Linked DNA regions of Caenorhabditis elegans. The protein of the gene in region 1 purifies or fractionates together with the protein of each later gene. This does not show direct contact. Each region holds a gene or a part of one and is shown in the gene's direction. Other genes may lie near its edges.

Region 1 (4,214 bases):
AGAAATTTTTTTTGAATTTTTTTCAGTTATATTCGGTCATTTAGAGCAAAAAAAATTTTTTTTTTGAATTTTTAGAAGCAAAATCCCCATTAACGCTACTCCACCTTTAAAAAACACCGTAAAATAACTCAATTTTTTTGCAGAATCAAAATAAATTCTCGCTGACCTACGAAGCCTCAATGACCCGTCTCTTCCGTGAAGGACGTACCGAAACTGTCCGTTCCTGCACTGTCCAATCCTCGGATTTCGTTCGTTCAATGCTCGACGCCTCGAAGACGCCTCAAGATCGCCTCCAACTCCTCCGTAAAGCATGCGACAAGCATCAGGAGCTGTACCGAGACGCGATGTGTGGACAAGGAGTCGATCGTCATCTCTTCGCTCTCTACGTTATCAAGAGATATTTGGAAGAGGAATCCCCGTTTTTCGATAATATCTTCCCACCGACATACTTGCTCTCAACTTCCCAGACTCCGATGAATCAGTGCGAAGCTGATGCCAAGGGACTTTCCAACGAAGTTCGCTTGAGATTGATCACTGCCGGAGGTGGATTCGGTCCGGTGGCTGATCGGGGTTACGGTGTCTCTTATATTGTTGCAGGGGAAGATACTCTGTCTTTCCATATCTCTAGCAAGAGATCTGCCGATAATACGGTAATTTTTGTTTTACAGTTACAGTATTTTTCTCTGAAAAACCCCCGATTTTTTGGAAAAAAACCCAGATTTTCTGGAAAAAAAAATCTATTTTTTGTCTAAAAAAACCCAGATTTTTTGGAAAAAAATACCAATTTTTTGTTTAAAAAAAACCCGATTTTTTTGGAAAAGCCAGAATTTTTTCAGAAAAAAACCCAGATTTTTTGGAAAAAAACCGAATTTTTTGTTTAAAAAAAGCAGATTTTTTGGAAAAAAATACCAATTTTTTGTTTAAAAAAAACCCGATTTTTTTGGAAAAGCCAGATTTTTTTCAGAAAAAAACCCAGATTTTTTGGAAAAAAACCGAATTTTTTGTTTAAAAAAAGCAGATTTTTTGGAAAAACCCGAGATTTTTTGTTGAAAAAACCCAGATTTGTTGGAAAAAAACCAATTTTTGGGAAAGACTCAGATTTTCTGGAAAAAATCCCCAGATTAAAAAAAACCAGATTTTTTGAAAAAAACCCAAATTTTCTGGAACGAACAAAAGATTTTTCGTTTGAAAAAACCAGATTTCTTATTGTAAACAATATTCATATTGTGGAAAAAAATTTTTTTTTAAACTTATCTTCAAAATTCGAAAAAATTTGAGCAATTTTTGCCGAAAAACCACAAAATTTATCTATTTCATCCAATTTTCTTCCAGAGCTCCCGTGAATTCCGTGAAGAGCTCAAGCGCTCGCTCAACGACATGAAGAAGCTCGCCGAGGCGATTGAGGCGCCGAAGAAAAAGCAATAAGTGCTCCGTCTGAATTTATTTTTTTAAAAAATGTTTTTTTTTGGTTTTCCCGGCCATTTTTAACCCGCAATTTTTCCCTTTTGTTGTCTCCTTTTCACACACACACTTCGTGTACATTATACGTCCTTCTGAAAAATGCTCATTTTTATTGGATTTTTTTCCCTCAAAAAACTTGTCTGACTGGTAACAAAATGTAATTGTAAATACTAACAAAAATTTGTTTTTCCGAAAAAAAAAAGGAAATTTCCATGTATTTCCCCCAACCCTTTCCACTTTGTATGTCGAAGCCCTCAGCATAATGCGTTTTTTTATTTCTTTTCGACTATAAAATCATTGTGATTTTTAAAGAAAATAGTTCAACAGGAAAATGGTTTAAAAGCCGTAGAAAGCCGTGCTTTAGAATATTCTCAGAAATTGGAAATTTACAACAAAAATGTTTCAGTGGAACAGAAAATATGAAAATTACACCGAGAACTCTGCAACATTTGATAAAATTTCATAATTTGGAACTGTGGCCGAAGGATTTGGCTGAAACTATGAAAACCTGCTGTTATGTTAAAAAGTAGGCAAGAATTTGAAATTTTGAGCGAAATTGGTATTAGAGCGGATTTGCATACTCCACAATTTTCAAATTTTACGTGAAATCGGTGAAATCAGAGAAATCGTCAAAGGAGCGCGATTGCAACTTGAAAAAATTTGAATTTAAATTGGAAGCAGCGAAACTCTGGGGAATTATCCGTAGAGCGTATTTGCAAGTTTAAAAAAAGATTATTAGCATTGGAGCGCGCTTGCAACCTTAAAAATTTCGAAATTTTCAGAGATTTCATCACAGAAGCCGAAGAGAAAAGCCTTCTCGTCGACGTTGAGCCACACATGAAGCGTCTTCGGTACGAGAAGAGCCATTGGGACGATGTAGGAGTTTTTGATCATTTTTATGAGGAAAACAGATTTAAAATTTACAAAATTCAAAAAATGATAGTTTTGTGAAAAAAAATTTATTGAAAATCTCGGATAAAATATGTTTTAATCCAAAATTTGACATAAAATTTGAAATTTAGAGTTCTCAGTCAATAAAACATTACTGGTGGCTTAGAAATATTATTCTAGGCCATCAATATATTGTCGATGACCTAGAAATTAAAATTTTGGATTTCTAGGTCATCAATATAGAATTGGTGGCCTAGAAATAATATTCTAGGCCATCAGTAAATTGTCGATGGCCTAGAAATTGAAATTTTGGATTTATAGGTCATCAGTATAGAATAAGTGGCCTAGAAATCGTGTTCTAGGTTTCAGATGAATTCATGGCCTAGAAATACCTATTTCGAATTTCTAGGCCACCAGCAAGCTTCCCGTGGCCTAAAAGTCTCCCATATTTTCTAGGCCATCCACCTATACCGAGAACGTGAGCAACGAAAATGGCGAGACGAGAATCTCGAAGTGATCTCCCGCATCCGGAGTGAATCGTTCGGCGCCAACACCGAACATTTGACCTACGTGCATATTTTGGATCTACACAAGGACGGTGTCATCAAACCACACATTGACGCGATTCGAGTGCGTGCAAGTTGACCAGGGTTCTGGGCTTCCTCATCGAATTTTTCGCGCTCTATTGACAATCCCCCGCCGGACAACGCGTGGGAAAGTCGTGTACTCCACACGGACAAATACATTTAGTTTTACAACTAAAATCGAGCCGCGACGCGACACGCAACGCGCCGTAAATCTACCCCAGATATGGTCGAGCCAACATGGCCTAGTTCGGCAATTATTATCATTAGAGCGCATTTAAAACTTATAACTCAAAAATATTCAAAAAAAATCCGAAATTTTCAGTATTGTGGTGACGTCATCACGGGTGTCTCCCTGCTCTCCGACGCTATTATGCGGCTCCGGCACAAGGATCAGAAGGATGAACTGATTATGGATCTTCTGATGCCTAGAAGAAGTTTATATCGATTAGGGTGAGTTTAGCCATAGAGCGAACTTGCTCACCACATTTTTAAAAAATCTAAAAAATTCGAAAATTTCAGCGGTCCCGGACGATACGATTTCACACATGAGGTGCTCGGCGAGCAGGAAAGTGTGTGGAACGGAGAACAAGTGCCCAGGGAGCGAAGAATATCGATTATTTGTAGAGATCTTCCGAAAGTGGCGAATCGGCAGACGGCTGAGGAGGAGATTAAGCTGAAACCGATTCCTGAAGAAATTTAATTGTTTTTATTACCTGTGGTTCTTAGAATAAATTGTTGCAATTAATAAACAATTAATTATATTTTTGTATTTCATTATTATCTAGAGGCGAAATATTGCGATTTTAGCGCCAAACATGGTCTCGACACGACAGATTTTTGTTAAATGCAAAAAGGGGCGCGCCTTTAAAGAGTACTATAGTTTTTATCGATTTTCAGAGAAATTTCAAACTACAGTACTATTTAAAGGCGCACAGCTTTTTCGATCAAACCAGAATTTGTCGCGTCGAGACCTGGTACCGTATTTTGGCGCAAAATTTAGCTTCTGGTTAATAACACAATGTTATAATAACTTCTCCAGCACAGAAAATTAGCAGTATTTGAAGGTACGAATATATTACGGAAACACAAAATTCTAAGAATACGTACTGCGCAACATGTTTGACGTGCAAAATATCTCGTAGCGAAAACTACAGTAACTCTTTAAATGACTACTGTAGCGCCTGTGTCGATTTACGGGTTGTTCTATCTTATCGATAGAGAAGCTTAAAAATGAGAAAATATTGCAAAGAAACTAGTGAAAATGGAATATCGCTC
Region 2 (4,628 bases), on another chromosome or scaffold:
GGCAAAACAAAAAAAAAGTTTTGGCACGCGGCACTTCCCACACAAACGCACATCCCACGCACGCCAATAATTTTCAGATCTATGATTTTTATGTTAAATTCAAAGTTAAAGAAGTGAAGAAGCGTTTTTAATTGTTTTTGTAGTATTTGAAAATTTTCTGTATCGACACTGGCGCCTAGAAAAAACCTTTGAATATTTCATGAATTCAACTTTGCGAAAATTACTCAGTTTTTTTTGTCTTCACAAGGTGTAACGACCCACAAAATCATCCGAGCTTAATCTTCTATTAAAATTCTTGAAAGTCAGATCAAAACGTTCCCCGAAAAATACTAAAATGAGTTTTCCTGCATACTGCTGCCGCCGCTCACATCTATCTTTCTGGCGACTGTGTCATTCAAGGCTTCTATGTCATTCAAACTACTGCCACAGTCATACCATGACAGAACTTTTTTGGATTTTTGTTTTCAAAGAATCTCTAGACCAAGAGCATTCTTTGAACTATAAAAACTTGTAAGATACTTGATGGGTTCCTCGAAAAAAAAAAAGTAAAAATCCCGCAGAATGCCGACTTGCGTGCCATCAAGAACGTGATCTCAAAAGTTCGGAAAGCCTGCAGCGATGCGGTTAGGGAAATTTTAAAAATTTTAAACGTTAATCTGGTCAGTATTTCATGGAGATCAAAATTTATACAAATTGATGTAATAACTCTCGCCACACGTGAAGTTACAGAGCTGCAAACGTGTTACCATACTTATGGCGCAGAAGAAAAATCAATCAACAATAACTTTATTTAGGATACACCTGCAAATATCCAAAACGATTTACGATCATAGTTTTTTCCCAAAAAAGTCTTTTCGAAAAATCCCTCAATCAAGGCGCCGGGTCTTTTTGAATACTCATTTAAGTACCAGTTCACCGGTCCGAAAAAGATAGTAGTGTTGCGCCGAATGATCAACACAAGTCCACATTCATCGCCGAACCGTTCGCAAAGCTTTTCCGCATAATCTCCTGGAGATTCTTCGAAGGATGCTCGATGCAACACCTCCACAGTCGTAGTAAGTACAGTGTACCGCATTTTCTATATTAGTCGCCACTACCATACTTTTATAATGTGTTTAACTGAAGACAATTAATGTTAATGTTAATGCAATATGAACTAATACGGAAAATACGGTATTTATTTAAAGAAAACACCATTAATTAATTTAAATCAATATTCAGCATTCATGACCTTCGTGAGTACGTGCGTGGTCTTCGCGAAACGTTCGGCGCCGAATGTGGCTTTGTGGGGATTATTCGAAAACATAGAAACATTCGCAAACGTTGGGTAAACTGTGACCCAGACGATTATCCCAGAGGACCCGGTGACTGTATTGAGAGATGTTTCAAGGGCAATGGTTCTGACTTTTTTTTTGGTAGTGGCGACTTTTTTCAGTACTGGTACGGTCAAAAGTTTGAGATAATTGCTGGTGTTCGATGAATATTTGTAGTTTTTATTCAAAACCGTTCCATTGTAATAAAAACTACGACATTTTATCTTTTTGCGATTTCTTTTTTTTTAAATAAATATTTTATCTAATACCTTCAAGGAAAACTAATGTATCTTTTACATGTTTTTTGTGAATAAATCTTTTCTTTCTTTTAAAATCTTTTAAAAAAATCAGAATTTATAGTTTAGTTCTTTAGTTCGGAACTCACTTACTATGCCAAAAATCGTGTTCCCTAAATGAGTCACTTGGTACTATTGACATATTTGAGTATTTTCAACACATAATTTTCTTTGACATTTTTGCCCTTTCCGAATTTTTATGAGGAAGACGCTAGCATTCCTGATAAAGAAAATGTCAGTATTCCTCATACTTAGTTCCACAAGAAAAATGGCATGCGTGTAATGTGTAGCACTAGAGTATAAAACAAGAACAGAGAAAAGAAAGATAAGACATCATTGCTTTTCTATTTGGAGACAGTTATATATTTCAAGATGGCTGGTAAGATTCTATTTTTAAAATAATATGAAATTGAATCGAATTCTCAATTTTCCAGCTGTAAACTACACGACGGGATTTATTTCGGTGGTCACTGGCTGCCTAGGAGTACATGGGGCTTATGCGTCCGCCGCAGTGGTTCCGCATTTAACTGCGATTTGTGCATGCGGTGCTATAGTTAGTGCATATGTTACGATGGCTGCATACAAAGATGACAAATCAACGGAGCTGATACTCAGCGAGCTCAAAACGCTCGACAAGAAGATTGGGGAACTGTCACATAAGATGGACGCGTTGTTCGGTGATCTTAAGTCATTTATAACAACGTCTCACTTTTACATGGTATGTTCGGAATAGATATTGGTTCAAAGTGTGGTTACGAAGCCTTCTGCGCAGGAAAAAAGTTAATCACGACCCTTTTTAACCTTCACCCTTTACCCTTACTCAAAATTTTGCAGAATGAGGTCGCTACAATCAAAACGTTGATGAAATACATGCAGGATACGATGAACAATCCTTGTAAATACACAAAAGAGCTATTTCGTGGCGCTGTGACGGATAATAAACCTTTGTGGATTGCAGAGGTAGGACTTATTAAGGAATCACAAGATTTCAATGTTAGACAGCTTCAAATTTCCAGCAAATGATTATAAAACTCGACCAGGAGGAAACGAATCCTCTCAAAATGGCAATGAACTGTGATCCTCTTCGACCAACGGAAACTTTTGAAAAATGGAGAAAAATAATCGACGGAGTGCTTGCCCAATGTGTAGGTACTCACTACATCCCTCACTAAATAAAGTGTATCATATTCAGCTGATTTTGGAGACGTACCAGAATGGAATGTTTTGCGATAAGAACATGATTGGACCGAGTCGTTTAAAGAAGCAAACCGAAGAATTACAACTGAAAATGAATAGATGGGCTGAAGAATACCGTCAAGATCACTCGTACTGGGACGATGGAGTCTTAAGTTTAATCCATAATGTGCAAGACAATAATGAGGGAAGTGAAAATATACGAAATATTTTGACTAAAGAATTGGGCAAGATCATGACAAAGTGAGTATTTTTGTAAATTGACAAGGGACATAAAAGGGTAATTGTGTATTATAACTTTACTTTTTTCAAATTAAATTATGACCGGGGTAGCAATTATTTTATCTGTTAAGTTATTTAAAACGTGAATAGTATTTCCATTATTAGGCTTACAAAGGAAGTATTCCAATTTAACCCCGGTCAATTTAGGCACTTTGAACTGGAAAGAAGTCGCTCTGAAAAATTTTCAATGCATTTTTCACGATTTTCGCAGCCCGTAAAATTCCTCCAAATGTTGATTTTTGCAGATTTCTGATGATTTCTAGGCTTTTGAGGGCCAACCAATTTTTTTCTGGAATTTTTTTAATTTGTGAAAAAATATAAAAGATTTTGGTCCCGAAAGACCAAAAAAGCCAAAAAATCTGCGTTTTCCGAAAATTTATTCAAAAAAAGACAGCCCTGCTGTGAACGTCAGTAATTTTTCTCACATCCACTTACAAATGTAACCATTTTTTGCACACCATATCGCAAACAGTCAGATTTCAAATTGATTTTCCAAAATATTTCAGCCACAAATTTTACGTGATCGTCTACGATTTCTGTGACGGTTCATCTGAGGAGTACCAATTCACTTCATACAGCTATTTCAAACGCAATTTTAAATCTTCTTTCAATCGAAACGGGTGCAATGCTTTTGTTTTACGAAGCCTCAGAACCCAAGATTGCAAAAGGCACGAGGAGAACCTTCAAAGAAAGCTGCAAGCTGCCCTTCCAATGGAATACGAGTTTGTATTTTGCGGCTTAATGGCATAACATTTGATCCAAACATTTTTTCAGCTACAGATTCAAATTGATTGATTATGCGGAAAAGCTTTGCAAACGGTTCGGCGATGAATGTGGACTTGTGTTGATCATTCGGCGCAACACTACTATCTTTTTCGGACCGGTGAACTGGTACTTAAATGAGTATTCAAAAAGACCCGGCGCCTTGATTGAGGGATTTTTCGAAAAGACTTTTTTGGGAAAAAACTATGATCGTAAATCGTTTTGGATATTTGCAGGTGTATCCTAAATAAAGTTATTGTTGATTGATTTTTCTTCTGCGCCATAAGTATGGTAACACGTTTGCAGCTCTGTAACTTCACGTGTGGCGAGAGTTATTACATCAATTTGTATAAATTTTGATCTCCATGAAATACTGACCAGATTAACGTTTAAAATTTTTAAAATTTCCCTAACCGCATCGCTGCAGGCTTTCCGAACTTTTGAGATCACGTTCTTGATGGCACGCAAGTCGGCATTCTGCGGGATTTTTACTTTTTTTTTTTCGAGGAACCCATCAAGTATCTTACAAGTTTTTATAGTTCAAAGAATGCTCTTGGTCTAGAGATTCTTTGAAAACAAAAATCCAAAAAAGTTCTGTCATGGTATGACTGTGGCAGTAGTTTGAATGACATAGAAGCCTTGAATGACACAGTCGCCAGAAAGATAGATGTGAGCGGCGGCAGCAGTATGCAGGAAAACTCATTTTAGTATTTTTCGGGGAACGTTTTGATCTGACTTTCAAGAATTTTAATAGAAGATTAAGCTCGGATGATTTTGTGGG

Evidence for each region. The genes of interacting proteins can lie anywhere in the genome.
Region 2: the proteins of alkb-7 (region 1) and Y94H6A.2 fractionate together in Caenorhabditis elegans (co-fractionation; one large-scale study listed by BioGRID). This does not show direct contact.

What each region holds. Positions count from the first base shown.
Region 1 is NC_003280.10:12,785,807-12,790,020, reverse strand, and holds alkb-7 (Alpha-ketoglutarate-dependent dioxygenase AlkB-like domain-containing protein), read left to right. Parts: upstream 1-1,867; 5' UTR 1,868-1,880; coding exon 1,881-1,987; intron 1,988-2,243; coding exon 2,244-2,337; intron 2,338-2,808; coding exon 2,809-2,982; intron 2,983-3,261; coding exon 3,262-3,389; intron 3,390-3,458; coding exon 3,459-3,639; 3' UTR 3,640-3,699; downstream 3,700-4,214. Other genes in the region: cpt-1 (carnitine O-palmitoyltransferase), read left to right, coding at 144-650, 1,333-1,425.
Region 2 is NC_003282.8:2,728,311-2,732,938, forward strand, and holds Y94H6A.2 (DUF4781 domain-containing protein), read left to right. Parts: upstream 1-1,981; coding exon 1,982-1,988; intron 1,989-2,043; coding exon 2,044-2,327; intron 2,328-2,443; coding exon 2,444-2,569; intron 2,570-2,625; coding exon 2,626-2,754; intron 2,755-2,801; coding exon 2,802-3,046; intron 3,047-3,591; coding exon 3,592-3,807; intron 3,808-3,859; coding exon 3,860-4,094; 3' UTR 4,095-4,112; downstream 4,113-4,628.